Linked DNA regions of Oreochromis niloticus. The protein of the gene in region 2 binds, or shares a complex with, the protein of the main gene of each other region. Links are inferred from orthologs where the notes say so. Each region holds a gene or a part of one and is shown on either strand. Other genes may lie near its edges.

Region 1 (6,954 bases), on a different chromosome or scaffold from region 2:
TGGGGACTGTCCCATTTGGAGGTGGTTCCTGTGGGTCGTTAACCCACTATTGATCTGTGTCCTCACATAAGCCAAAATGTGAAAAGGTCTCTCAGCATTCCTGCGATATCCCGCAGTGTATAGTGTTTTCCATCCAGAGATTGCTGTGGTTTTAATCTAGTGTCACACTGTATAAACATGTTGTGTGTTTTCAACTGCAAAGTAGAATTTTGTCAATTATATCAAATGTACAAGGCAAAGGAGTATGCTGGCTACCAACTTGTACTTGCTGCTGTATATAACAATAAGATTTGAACTTGACATCAGCACATAATTGATGAATGATGAGAATGAGAATGAGAGTTTTTATTGGCTGCTTCTGCAAATTCAAACACTGAACATGTTCCCAAATACTCTCTATAACAACATTCAAACAACCTAAAACACTGGATTCAGTCATGGTTCTAGAAAATGTGCCTTGTTTACAGTCCCATGTAAATGAAGAGCATCTATTTTAAAAGAGTTCCTGCATTTCCAGTTATGCCGCAAGCAAAATTGGACACCAAGGCTTCATCTCTGATATTGGTCAGGCTTAAAAAGTGCATCCCACAGTTTCCTTTACAGTTGTGCAGTGAAGTATTATTAGCCCTGTTCAGGTCTACAGTTTCAGGGGTGGCTGGTAGAGCAGGTCATCTGTCAATCGGAAGATTGGTGGTTCAGCCCCTAGGTCCTCCAGGCTGTATGGCAAACATTCTTGGACAAGATGCTAACCCCGATGTTGGATAGAAAACACTTAAACCTTCCAATAATGGCTGAATGAGCCATGTTGTATAAAGCACTTTTATTGCTCAAGTAGAGTAGAAAAGCACTATATAACATCCAGTCCATTATCCATTCTTCCCAGCTCCAAAAAGCAAAAAGCATCATACAGGTGACTGAGCAGTCATTCAAAAATATTGGGATGCACCTGCTCTAAATGACTTGTGTACTTTTTCTTGTCTTCAACAGGTTTCCCAGGCAGCTGCAGATCTACAACAGTTTTGCATACAGAATGCTCTCCAAGACCCTCTGCTCACTGGTGTGTCATCCAGCACCAACCCTTTCAGGCCGCAGAAGGTCTGCTCCTTCTTGTGAAACCACTGTGTCCATTGGTAAGTCGGCCACACTTTTGAATATGCACATGTTCTGTTGCTGAGCTACACATGCCGTCTTTACTGTGTATTCAGATTTCTTTCTTGAATTGAAAAACATCTGAGACTTGACAGTAACATTGACAGTATTTTCTAATAAATTGATCTAATGCTTGTGTGACCTGCCGGTGGATACTAAAAGAGTTGCTTTTTTTAATACTGTGAAACCTTGTTTCAGTTTATACAAATACAGTTGCATTGTAAATCAATAAAAATAGTCTGAATAAAATCTTCTCATCCTGAGCTGTTTAACCATTTAAAATGATTCTTTTCTTTTTTTCCTTGTTCTGTAGGCCTTCATTTTGATGCTACAGGGAAAAATTGACCTCAGCACCTGCTCCTTATGCCAAGCCATTATACTGCCACGGGAATTCTCAAAAGTAGAACTCAATGGATTTAAAACGGGAAGAAGACTGCCTATTTTTAGATAAGGTAGAAGACAGGAGACTGTATTATTTTCCACGGCACAGTGTGATTTTTGACTCAATTATTGTGCCTTTTCTATTCTATTTTAGTCATCACTGTTCTCAACTTTTTTGTATTTAATGAATAAAATATTCTTTACTACTCAAGTTATTGCCATTATCCTTTTCTTGTTTATCAATTTCCTGAATTATGATTTTTTTATAGTTCCATATTATTGTCAAATTTCATGTAGCCTTAGAGGCAACAGTTATGGAAACAGCTTGTGTATGAATCATTAAGTAGACCAAAGGAAGAGTTTGGGTCAAAAGATACTGCATTATACATGAAATTGGTGATGGGAGAAGTACTTTGATCTGTTTCTTGAGCCAAAATTAAAATGAGTATAGTGTAAAATTTAAAGCAACTTAAGATTTTTGTGCTGCTTTTTTCGTTTTTTTTGTTCTTAAATCAAAGTATTTGAACAAGTGTCATAACTCATGATCAGGACTCCAAACTGTGATATTTAAATGTGCATACATAGTTTATTGTACATTTACTGTACATTAAATTTGACAGGATTTGTTTCCTGTATTCAACTTATTGTACCTTGCCACCTTTATTTATGGTAAATGGACTGGTTCTTATATAGCGCTTTTCTACTCTTCTGAGCACTCAAAGCGCTTTACACAACTTGTGCATTCACCCAAGCACATTTTTCTAGGTGCTTTCTAAGTAACATTCACACACACATTCATACTCCGATGGATACATCGGAGAGCAATTTGGGGTTAGTATCTTAGTATCTTGCCCAAGGATTTTTGGCATGCAGACTAGGGGAAGCCAGGAATCGAACCACCAACCTTCCGATCAGTAGAGGACCTGCTCTACCACCTGAGCTACAGCCACCCTATTTATAAAGCACTTTAAAATAAACCAGGGTCCATAAAGTGCTGTACATATACAAATAGCATAAGCAGAAAATAAACAAATCAAACATTAAGAATAGAGAATTAGGGAAAAAAACAGTCAACTTCTTAAAAAGTGCTAAAGGCTTCAGCAAATAAATGTTTTCTGAGTTTTAAACTCAGAAAGAGAAGAGGTCTGCTTAACCTGCAAGGGCAGATGATTCCACAACTTTGGACCCGCTACAGCACACGCACGGTCACCTCTAAATTTACGCCTAGTTTTGGCACCTTAAGGAGCTGCTGATTGGAGGACCTAAGGGAGCAGGTAGGTGTATATGTAGCTGTGGGGGTAGCAGGTATAGGGAGAAAAGAAGGCCTCAAACTGAACCCTGTGGGACTCAACATTGAAGAGAAGCAGCAGAGGATACAAACTCACAAAGTTTCACAGAGAAAGTTTCCTCTGCCAAATAAGATCTGAACCACTGCAGTGCAGTACTGCTAACACCCACCAACTGCTCTAAATGAGAAATAAAAATTTTATGATCCGCTGTATCAAAGGCAGCAGTTAAACCTAAAAGCACAGTAATAACACAGTTACCTGAGTCAACTTAATGTAGTCAACTACATTTATGATACAGGATGTGGAAGAACTTGAGAGGACATATGGAAATTGGAAAGGAGACCAGCAATTTATTGAAATCTATATAAGCACACATGGAAATACAGTATGAACATTATTGAAACATACATGGAAATATAATCTATAAGCAAAAACTGTTTGTCCACGTCTAAAGAGTTTGAAAATCAGTATTTGGTGTGATGACTCTTCAACACCTGAACTCTGAGACAAGCTTTCTAGTAATTTCTTTAAGGAGTCTTCAGGAATAGTTCACCTGGCTTCTTGAATGAGAATCAAAGCTGTCTGGATGTTTGCTGCCTTCTGTCTGATTGGATATTGTTGAGACCTGGGCTCTGGGGGGTCAATCCATGACTGACGGTGGCCCACTGTATTTTTCTATCCACCTATGCTTTTACTGTATTGGCAGATCCCTGATAAAAAATTAGGTTGTTACCAATCGGATGGTTCCCATATAGTATTAACATGGTGGAACAAAATCTAACAGTGGCAATGATGGCTGCGCTTCTATCGAGACCATTCCTTCTGTGAACAGTAGGTGGAAAAACTATGGAAGAGGATTAGGGCCACTGGGGGGAAAAAGGCATGTCTTTGCCCCCCCAATTCTGAGATTAAATTCTGACTTTTTTCTCAGAATTCCAGAAAAGAAAAGAAAAAAAGACGTGCCCACTCTTTTTTTCCCAATTGCCCTAATCCTCTTCCGTAAAAACGTCCCAGATGCATTGTTTGCAAAAACCCGGCTTAAAAATATAAACATATATATATTAATGTGTATATATGTATGTATATATATGTATGTATATATACATATAAAAAAGTCAGAATTTAATCTCAGAATTGGGGGGGGCAAATTCTTACACATCTCTATTATTGCTAATTTATATTGTAATATATCTATATCACGACTAAAGCACTTTCTGGATGGATGCAAACTGCATTTCGTTGCCCTGTACCTGTGACATGTGCAATGACAATAAAGTTGAATTCTATTCTATTCTATTCTATATATATATATATATATACATACATATATAGATATATATATATAGATATATATATATATACACATATATATATATATGTGTGTGTGTGTATATATGTATATATGTATGTATATATGTATATATATAATTCCATTGTATTGGGTTAGTAACAGGAGTCCTCTTTATTTTAAAAGTTAATATTATTTAATTACAGCATATACTGATGATAAAATTACATCTCATCTTTGATTTAAAAACTGGTTACTATCCCAGGACCACCCCAAACAAAAGCAATACAAAAAAACTGACATTCTTTATTGTCTTTATACATAAAACATTTTTATTATATTTGTATACAGAAGGACACTCTTTAGTCTGAATTGCTCACGCTGTTTTTAATGTTGATTTGCAGCTTGCATTTGTACAAACGGTACAGCATTTTGTGTAACAATGTTCTGGGAAAATGATGAACTGGGCATCTTATCTGCTCGTGAGCTCGCGACTGTGGGTGAGCTGTTGGTTGAACTCTCGCGAGATGTGAACGTACGGAAATCACACCCGTGTTGAGAATAGCCGTTCCATGTACGCGGGCACTGAACCCAGGTCGGTCTCCATGTCCATCTCCTTGAGCGGTTACATCAGAGCGGTTAAGTCGTAACTGCAGCTCGACCAGCCGAATGAAACCGCTCTCACCAGTGTGAAGAATGAATCATGGGACAGCGTTACTGTGGAAACGACGGTAACTGCTTTTGTTAACCTGACATATTAAGTACAGTTAGCTGACAAAGCTAGCCGGCAGAATATATTCGGGTATAGTAGCTAGATTTGCTGCTTCATAGCTTGTCTCATTGTTCGTGGCCGGTTCAGTGAGCTGGAAGAAAATGGATTACGTGATGCTAACGGCTCACCCTAGCTGATGCAACTTTACTCGGTCATTGTCATTATACAATCAGCTCATTTAAACCCGTTAGTTAGCTGGCTCAGTAATCTGGTGCAGCTAAATAGCTAGATTGTTGGGCGTATGCATAACCTTAAATCACAACTACTGCCACGATGATGCTCCAGGATGGCTCTACACAGCTTCTTTGTCTCACAGCCAGCAGCGGGGTCCCTCTTTTCACAAGAGGAGCCTCCAAACAGCTGCCCTTCTCTGTCATAGGCTCTCTAAATGGTGTTCACATGTTCGGAGGTGGTCAGGGGGTAGTGTTGACCTGCTCTGAGACGCAAGGTGGAGGGAAGGTGGTGTGGAGAGTTTTCCAGGACAGTGTGATGCTCATCGCTGTGAGTGGAGGTGGAGATGGCGGAGTGGGCAGCAGCAAAGAGGAGGAGGCCCGTCTACAACGCCTCCTAGAGAATGTGTGGGGCTGCATGGTGCTAGTGTTAGGGCTGGATGAGCTGGTTAATGTCCGGAATGTTGAGAGGCTTAAAAGGGAACTCAGGTCCTGCTTCAGTCTTATTGATGAGCTGCTGGAGGACAAGCAGGAGGGTATTCTGGGAAACCTTACACATTGTGCTGATTCACTGGTGCCCCCAAACCCCGCTCTTTTTCAGGAGGCAGTGGATGGTTTTGCTCAGGCTGCAGACAGCGAGTTTGGTTGCCTCGTTGTTCATGGGCGAATTGCTACGGCAACTGAAAAGTGGTGGCGCCTCGCTCCGCAGGAAGTTGTCCTGCTTTCTGCTTTGATACGCTCACTCTCGGCCTCTGGATCGGCTTCTTGTGATTACCCAATTTTCCTTCCTCATGGCAGCCCCACTGTAGCCCACCGTCTTCTCCGCTTCCAGCTGCTGCCCAGAGCAGACGTATGTGTGCTGTGCGGTCCAACCCCATCCCTACATGGAGCTGAGACTGGGCTGGTGAGTCGTTTCTGGTCTCCCTTGGTCGAGACCCTGAGAGAGTGCCTGGCTGTTGGAGAACGCTACCTACCAGGGTCTGTATCCCTGCGCCCCGATGTGCTGGCACTTCTTCTCATCAACCGCGAAACACGTCGTGCAGTCTCCTGTGTACGGACTCCCAGTTACCATTACGATGGTCCATTACTCTCCAAGGCCCGCTGCTGGGAGCTGCTGAAACTCTTTTATATCTTCAGCACATCACGGTACTTCACCCAGGAAGAGCCTTTATTTGTCTCCACAGAAGAAAACGCTCAAAGAGGCAACACTGAAGACTTTCCTCTTGGATTCTCCCACCAGCCCCAACAATGTTATCTAGTTACAGAGGAATGCAAAAGCTATGGACTTCAAACACCACAGCACCAGCTGTTTCTGCTCATCTTACCATCTGTGCCCACGTTTGCGCTGCGTACACTGGCTACACAGACTCTGTCTGATATAGTAGCAGCCACAGGGTTTTAATTGAATTTCCTGTTTAACACCTTTTTTTAATCACAGGTGAATAGCTATAACATTAATGTGAATTTACATTTTCTTTACTGATTTATGCAAGCATATTATATGCTCACACACAATCATAAAGATCAGCTACTATCTTTTGTAAAGACAGCGATTAACTGTGCACTGGTAAGCAAATGTATGGTAGAAACAATGAAACACTACTCAAACTCTTACAGTTTCTACTATGCTGCCTCTAATGCTGGCAAAATATAAAAACACATTGAAATGTCACACCAAAGTGCTTTGAGTTTTGTTTTGCATCACTTTTGCACAACTGCCCTGCCTCTCTATAAGCTGGTTATTACATTAGAGGGCAGCACTGTAACAATGTGTATTAAAATGTATTGGAGAATAATGTGAAGATGTTACACTGGATTTAAAATTACCTGCTGTTTTTGTTGTTTTGACATTTTGAATAGTCTGACCTCAGAGGAGGTAAAATTATCTGTTTCTAAATATAGTTG
Region 2 (7,757 bases):
AGAATAAGTCCATATATTAGAGATGTTATTGATTGGTGCTGGACAAATTTATTAATTCATTCATCAGCCAAACAGATCTACTCATGGCAGTCTGTCTCTAATGTGGATAAAACTCCTGATGAGTTTGTTCCAGTACTTTGTTGCAGTTGTAGTTTACTTACTTAAAACTCCTATTTACAAATAACCAATACAATCCCAAATATCAAAAACCAAAACAAAACAAATGTGCTCAAACTATCAATACCTCAATCAGAATAATATACACTCACTAGTCACTTTATTAGATACACATGTTCAGCTTCTCATTTGCCCAAAAATCTAATCCACTAATCACACGGCAACAACCCAATCCATTTAGACATAGACAATGGCTGATCTCCTGAAGTTCAGACCATGCATCAGAATGCGGTAGAAAGGTGATTTATTCCTACAGAATCACAAAAATTGGATAATATAGGATTTGTAAAATATTGCCTGGTTTGATGAGTCTTAATTTCTGTTGCAACATTTGGACAGTGTGATCAGAACTTGCTGAAAATAAAATACAAACCGCCTCATATCACCAATTCAGGCTGCTGGTGGTGCTTTAATGGTGTTATGGGATAATGGGAATATTTTCTTTTCATACTTAGGGCCCTTGGACACTGAGCAAACACCACAGCCTACCTGAGCATTGTACCCAACTTCTGAATACACTGGTTTCCTGAACATAATAGTGAGTTCACTTAACTCAAATGTTCTCCACAGCCATCAGATCTTAAGATTTAGTCCATAAAACACAGTGGTGTTTGAACTGGATCTAAGTCCAAACACCACTTTTGGATTGGCGTGGAATGGGAGCATGGCATTATGGATGTGCAGCCAATAGAGAAAATCAAGAATTAAGGCAACTCTAAAAGTAAAAGAGGTCCAACCTGATATTGTGTCAAAAAGTGATTAGGGAAAAAATAAAACTGAATTGAACTGAACAGTTTACATAAGGATATCATTTTTTGACATGAAACATTTACTAGTAAAGTGTCTAAAAACAGGGGCTGTGAATGTAATTGGTATTTAGTTTAGTCTGGAGTAAGTCTGATACCATTCAGGTGTAACAGTATCTCATTTGCTTTTTGTTCAAGTCATGTAATGAGCCTGTAATGAAGCCATAAAATATTGATGCCCACGCTCAACTAACTGATCAACTTAAAACAAGACAGCAGAAAGAAACACTTCCCTTCCTGAGGAAGTACAGGTGAGGAGACTCACAACAGGAGAGGACTCGGTAAAAACAGATCATAACTTGTATTCAAGCACAAAAATACTTCACTCTGTCATACCTTGGCTATGATAGGTCTAGACTATTGCTTTAAAGGCAAAAAACTACAAAAAGAATTTACATAAAGAAGCATTAAGTTTGTGTTAGCACAACTACAACTGGAGAACAATTTATGCTTAAAAAAATGCAACCCTTCATTTTATACATTTCTGTTATACATAAAAAAAAACAAATAAATCATTAAAAAAAATGTATCTCTCCAACTACCAACCAAAGATACACTTTTTATAAGATATTTTAGTTACTGTATGCTATGCTTGGCACAACCCTGCTGCCAATACTTCAGTCTGGAAAAGTTGATTTGAAAAGTATTATTTATTAAATCTTTGACCATTAAATTAAAGATAGTCACCCTCACACTAAATACTATTAAATTAACACTTAATTTATGTTAACTTAAGCAACTTAAAATCTATCTTACCCAACTTTTCAGTAGTCAACCTTTTTAAGAATTTCAGCATCTATTTTGAAATCTTAAAAATACTATTCATAGAAAAATGTAAACTATTACAAAGGCAACACATTAAACTCTTGTATGCAGAATCGACATATGAGTTTTAATTTGTAGATTAGAAAAAAATATTCAGGTCTACAGAAATGTTTTTTGAATAAAATATTACTTTGTTAACACGTGTTTGTATTCTTTGCTTTATATGCATTTAACATAGTGGGGCAAAACAGGGTATTGACAGATGTGAGCTCTGGAACCTAATGCACTGTGACAGTCAATGATAAATATAGTTATATAAAAGGAAGGAAACCGAAATTAATTAATCTTATTTTGGTAACACGGGTAACAAGGTCGGAAGGTCAGAAAATACTAAAAGGGAAAATGCTAAATGTATCAAAGAGGTCTGACTTTTAGTTGACCTATATTGTTAACACACAACTCAATCGTGTCATTTCGTCTTTGTCATGACGGTTCTGTTGCTTCCTTTTCCAGACTGAATATACTTCAGTATCAGGGTTGTGCATATACGGTGGGACAAAATTTGCAGAGGATAATTACTGTTCGGAGTTATTGCTGTATTATAGGAGAGATATGTCAACAAACACAGAAAAACAACAACAACAAAAGATTCATAACGTATTTTAAGTATTTTAACTGTTAGTTGACATGCAATTTGGTTTTCAAAACGTTAGTGCAAAAGGGGAGGGGGTCTCAAATACTGTTTTGCATTTTAAATATTTTGGAACCACTTTTTCAACTACTACGTTTACCTTTTGTCCTGTTCTAGTATTTTGTGCATGAATTGTTTTCAAATTCATGTGAGAAACTGAAAATATCCTGCAATTGTAGAATGGTCCATAACACAGCTCCCACGAAGGAAACGGGGATATCGAATAAAACAGGTTATTAACAACTTACCTCAATTAGCTCATTGACGAGGGCTGCAGCAGTGTCTGGTCTTTCTCCACCCGAATGACTTCAGCGTTTTCTTAAACTTAATAGCGACTACAAAACTTTCATACTGACTGTTCACTACAGATAGATAGCTACTAGCATTAACCTAGACTTACGAACTGTACTGTACCCTAATATATAAAGATAGTCTCACCTGATCATCTCACTCCTCTGCCAAATTAACTGCACCATCTGTTCGTCTGTGTATATGTTTGCTAAGCTAATGACAAACTGCACTCACGCTACTAGCAAGGTCGCTAAGCAACGGTAAGCGAATCTTCCAAGGCTATGCTAACCAGCTAGCACAGTAAATATCGATATCATGGAGAAGCATTTTTTATAGCATCGGTAACAGTATTGCAGTCTGTAGGATTGTTTATTTGCTTGCTAATACATTTCTTGTTGAAGCTGGCTTACTTATGTGGCATTTGAAAAATACCTAAAAGACTACACAAACGATGAAAACTACAACTACATGGATCCTCAAGCTGCCGTTTAGCTATTTTAAGTGTCGTAATCAAAAGAGCTTAAATACGAGTGACCTCTGGCTTGAGCGACAAGTGGGAGAAACAGAGAAGCGTGAGGGACGTCCTGCTTGTCTTGGCAGTATGGTGAGTAGATACAGTAAATATGTTGGTTATCTTATTTTTTTTTTTCTGCAATGGAGATTAAACTGTTGATATTCACCCTGCTTATGCAGGAAATTCACAAAGTAAGGTATGCGTTGTTTCTAGCTCACGGCATGACGCAGCCAACCAGAGGACTCAAAAGTTGACTTTATTTAAAAAGTCTCGTTTCGTGTCAAAGTCACGTGACACTTTTCTAATTTTGGTTATTTTAAATTGATGCTGATCTCCCAAGTATATACTCATTTGTTATGCAACCCTGAGTCGTGTCTGCAGGCACATGTCTATTTTTGAACTCACCCCCTGCTTTACTAAATCTTTTAGACAAGAATAGACACCCAGCCCACGTGCAGTTGCAGTTAAACTTTCATGTGTGTGCTATGAGAGAACTCAATGCTATGATTGCTAACAGCAGTTTTCTTCACCTTGTGTCTTGCAGGCTGAGCCTATTAGAGTTCTGGTGACCGGTGCTGCTGGGCAGATTGCCTATTCCCTGTTGTTCAGCATTGCCAAAGGAGATGTGTTTGGCCAAGACCAGGTAAAGAAGGGTTTTGCCCTGCGCTTGTTAAAAACTCAGTTCCCTCTGCCTGTCACCAGGCGCACCCATGAAACTGACAGCTGGGAATGTCACAAATTTTCCAGGTCATATCTGGGATGACATTGCACATACTGTATGTTGTTCCTTTGGAAATTGATTGGGTTACACTAGCTTATTCATGACTGCTCCGATCACCCTGGACTGTCCTTGAAGTCAATGAAGTGGCTCTTGTGCCAAGAGTCTTACGCCAACTTTAAAGCCACTTGATCCAATTGGTACATGGCTTAGGCCTTCTCACGCTGTCCCAGAGAACTAAGTCTCCCACTGACATGTAATGGTAAACAGGGATTATTATGCAATTTCATAATAATCATTTAAATTCAGTTATTTCATTTTTCTTATGGCAGCCAATCAGCTTGCTCCTGTTGGACATCACCCCCATGCTGCCGGTCCTGGAAGGTGTAGTCATGGAGCTGCAGGACTGTGCCCTTCCACTTCTGAAAGGTAATCATTTAAGGCTTTGCTCAAATAATTGAGCAATACCAGTTTGGTTTTTTTTTGGTTTTTTTTTTTTTGTAGGCATTTTTTTTTCTTTTTTTGACAAACTGGATATTTAAAAGCAGAAGTAGCTAAATTATCTTTTTTTCCCCATTTATACAGATACAATTTCTTCATGTTTTTTTTGTTTGTTTGTTTTGTTTTTTGGCAGAAGGATCACCTTGTAAATGTTTTAATTCACCTTTCCTTCTATACCTACATATCCCAAAATATGATCCTTGAGTAGATGTTAGCTAATAAGAGCAACTACACCCTTCTTGTTGGAGGTGGATGGTTTCTCTTGAATAAGCTGTAGAGATTTGTTTGCACAGAATGGGCTCATTTTCTTGTCTGAGTATGGACCCAGTTTTTTGGTTTTTGGTTTGTTTTTTAGTTTTTTGGTGTGTGTTTCGTGGCTGCTGTCATGGACTCAGTCATGAGGCGCCACTATGTGCCATCTCCATTGTGACCTGGAATTTTTACTTTGCAGTGGTGCTGTTCTTTGCTTTTGTTTGCACGGGGGCTGAAAGAGGCCCCTGTATTAACCAGCCACGATGCAAAGACAACACCTCATGCACATCAAGACAAAGATAAATGCAGTTCTCATCAAACTGGTCACCTTTTTTTCTAAATATTATGATTGCAATTTAGAGTGATGCTTTGTCTCAAACAATTCAAAAAGAAAGGTGACAACACGGTAAATGTCAGATGCACAACACAAACAGGAAGGACTTCCTGTGTACCTCATGTTCTTTTGTTGGAACAGTTTTAGGGAGTGTGTGAGAACAACTTTTAGTCATGCAACTTTCATCAGGAGCTGACACAATGTTCACATATTGCAGTAAAGATCTGATGTGCCATTAATTTAAAATGAATTCATTTTTTTTTCCAGTTCAAAATGGGCCTTTGGGGGGATCATGTATTGGAAACTCAGTTTGCCCATGTATTATGGCATTGTCAGAAATCTCAAGTATTGTCCTGCTATTTTCAGTTTAATAAACAAAAATATATTTTATGGTCATTTAAATGCATCCCCAATTCTCACTAATATGGTTTGTAAACACAATTTCACCACAGTGCTAATAATTTTTGATTGAGTTTTGCTAAAAAAACCCCTGTATCAAATAAAAGTGAGGTCTACTTCCACCTTGGGTGCTAACAGTAAAGGTTAAATCCTTAACCAACCTAAGTACTTATGTCCCCCCCCAAAGGCCTAGTATATTGTTATGAAATTCAAAGGCATTCTGCAAAAAGTTGCAGGTACTATAAAGTTTTTACGTGTGTGTGTGTGTGTGTGTGTGTGTGTGTGTGTGTGTGTGTGTGTGTGTGTGTGTGTGTGTGTGTGTGTGTGTGTGTGTGTGTGTGTGTGTGTGTGTGTGTGTGTGTGTGTGTGTGTGTGTGTGTGGGGTTTTTTTTTTTTTTTTTTTTTTTTTTTTTTTTTTTTACACATTTGACTGGTTCTCTTCAGGTGGAGAACAAATTCCACTATGAACTTAATAATCCCTCTCAAGGTTCAAAGTTGACAAATTGCCAAAGAGTGGAGTTTTAAAAACCTATTGGCAATTAATTTTCTCCTTCTACAGAGATCATACCCACTGACAAAGAGGAGGTAGCCTTCAAGGACCTGGATGCAGCTATCTTGGTGGGCTCAATGCCCAGAAAGGAGGGTATGGAGAGGAAGGACCTGCTTAAAGCCAATGTGGCCATCTTTAAGAGCCAAGGGGCTGCCCTGGATAAGTATGCCAAGAAGACTGTGAAGGTAATTGGAAGCATATTTTTTGATGTAAAACACTCCCTTCCTGTCAAGTGAGCAAATCTGAAAGAAACTTCTCAGCCTCTGCCAAATGGATAGAAATGTTTCCTAAACATTTTGTGCTACTGGGAAAAATAGCAAAATCTTAATGAAGTATTTCCTGATGCCAAAACATTTTTCCCTTCTCGGTGTTGCATAATACAAGTTTGGTCGATTTACTCATGATAGTAATAAGACATAAAATCTACATGGCATATGTTTTTAAATTGGTTTGTGTGTTCAGGTGCTGGTTGTGGGAAACCCTGCCAACACAAACTGTCTGATTGCAGCCAAGTCTGCTCCCTCTATCCCCAAAGAGAACTTTTCCTGCCTCACCCGTCTGGACCACAACCGGGCTCGCTCTCAGGTACAGTCCTCTCACTTCTTTCACTTTCTGATGTCAGTCTCAGATGTTTGGCAGCCACATTGTCAATCGTGGCTGACTGAAAACCTGACTTTACTTCGTATCCTGTAGGTGGCGATGCGCTGTGGTGTTCCAGCCACTCGGGTGAAGAATGTGATCATCTGGGGGAACCACTCCTCCACCCAATACCCAGATGTTCACCACTGCAAGGTCAACATGTCCGGCAGTGAGGTGACCTGCTTTGATGCAATCAAGGATGATGATTGGCTTAAAGGCGATTTCATTACTGTGAGTTGATGGTTTCTAGATGAAAGCATGATATTTTATAGCTGGAGTATACTCACACTTGGATGCTTTTGGCTGTGCTTGAGAAAAGGCCTATAATATGATCCTCATATTTTACTTTATTGTTCTTCCATCTTTTCTTCATCCTGATGCTCCTCATAAGATTAATGGTTTTTAACATTACTGGTTACATTTGTGGTTCAACAATGCTCTTTTTTTTGTTTTGTTTTTGTTTGTTTTTTAAATTTGCACAATAGTGAGTTTTCCAGTTGCTGTTCATGCGGGCAGATGTCAGTAAGACATGAAGTCCCTTTTTTTTTTTTTTTTTTTTTTTTTTTTTTTTTTTTTTTTTCTGGCAAGCAAACATTTAATTTTCCTTCAAGCAAAATATTTTCTGGGAGACATTCAAAAACATGATTTTTGTGAACCAAAAACCTCAAAGATTTGCAGAATGGTCAAAAATCCTCAGGATGTGTTTCCAAAACCTCCAAAAGTCATATTTGCTGGGTCTATCCTGGCTTCTTTTAGGTAGGTAGGTATGCCTGAAACGCCTTACCTAGAAGGTGCTTGTCTCTAATCTTATTCTTCACACATCTTGTAGCAATACCCTATGTTCCTGTCCTTACCTGACAGCTTCACTGTTATGATCTGCTCTCTTCATTACAACAATCTCTCCATCGCTACAGACAGTGTACCGGTCCTTCTGTCAATCTGCCACTTATGAACAAAGGGAGAACAAGATTATACCTTGTTGCTTGCAGTGTGCAGCCCATGTAAAGCAGATATTTGTGGGACAATAAGTTAAGAAGTAGTAGTAGTAGTGATTTATGTACAGTGAAATGACACAGTTTCACCAGGCAGGGGCAGCATTTCCTATGAGTCCAGTTGATAA

The links. The genes of interacting proteins can lie anywhere in the genome.
Region 1: the proteins of wdpcp (region 2) and fuz are in contact, whole or in part, in a cryo-EM structure (PDB 7Q3D), measured with the Homo sapiens proteins. The link is inferred for Oreochromis niloticus from reciprocal best matches to the Homo sapiens genes WDPCP and FUZ. Residues at the interface, in NP_056994.3 of Homo sapiens: Arg55, Ile57, Asn75, Lys78, Leu82, Glu418, Asp419, Arg420, Leu421; in NP_079405.2 of Homo sapiens: His293, Glu372, Glu373, Pro374, Arg379, Gln397, Pro399, Thr400, His401, Gly402, Ser405, Leu406.

Annotation. Positions count from the first base shown.
Region 1 is NC_031982.2:20,160,659-20,167,612, reverse strand, and holds fuz (protein fuzzy homolog), read left to right. Parts: upstream 1-4,844; 5' UTR 4,845-5,152; coding exon 5,153-5,327; intron 5,328-5,450; coding exon 5,451-6,451; downstream 6,452-6,954. Other genes in the region: guanine nucleotide-binding protein G(I)/G(S)/G(O) subunit gamma-5, read left to right, coding at 988-1,113. UniProt on the Homo sapiens protein: Probable planar cell polarity effector involved in cilium biogenesis. May regulate protein and membrane transport to the cilium.
Region 2 is NC_031978.2:7,703,810-7,711,566, forward strand, and holds the start of wdpcp (WD repeat-containing and planar cell polarity effector protein fritz homolog), read right to left. Parts: upstream 3,006-7,757; 5' UTR 2,878-3,005; intron 2,822-2,877; exon of another isoform or gene 2,688-2,821; intron 1-2,687. Other genes in the region: mdh1ab (malate dehydrogenase 1Ab, NAD (soluble)), read left to right, coding at 3,182-3,334, 3,789-3,887, 4,295-4,391, 6,008-6,183, 6,461-6,583, 6,692-6,868. UniProt on the Homo sapiens protein: Probable effector of the planar cell polarity signaling pathway which regulates the septin cytoskeleton in both ciliogenesis and collective cell movements.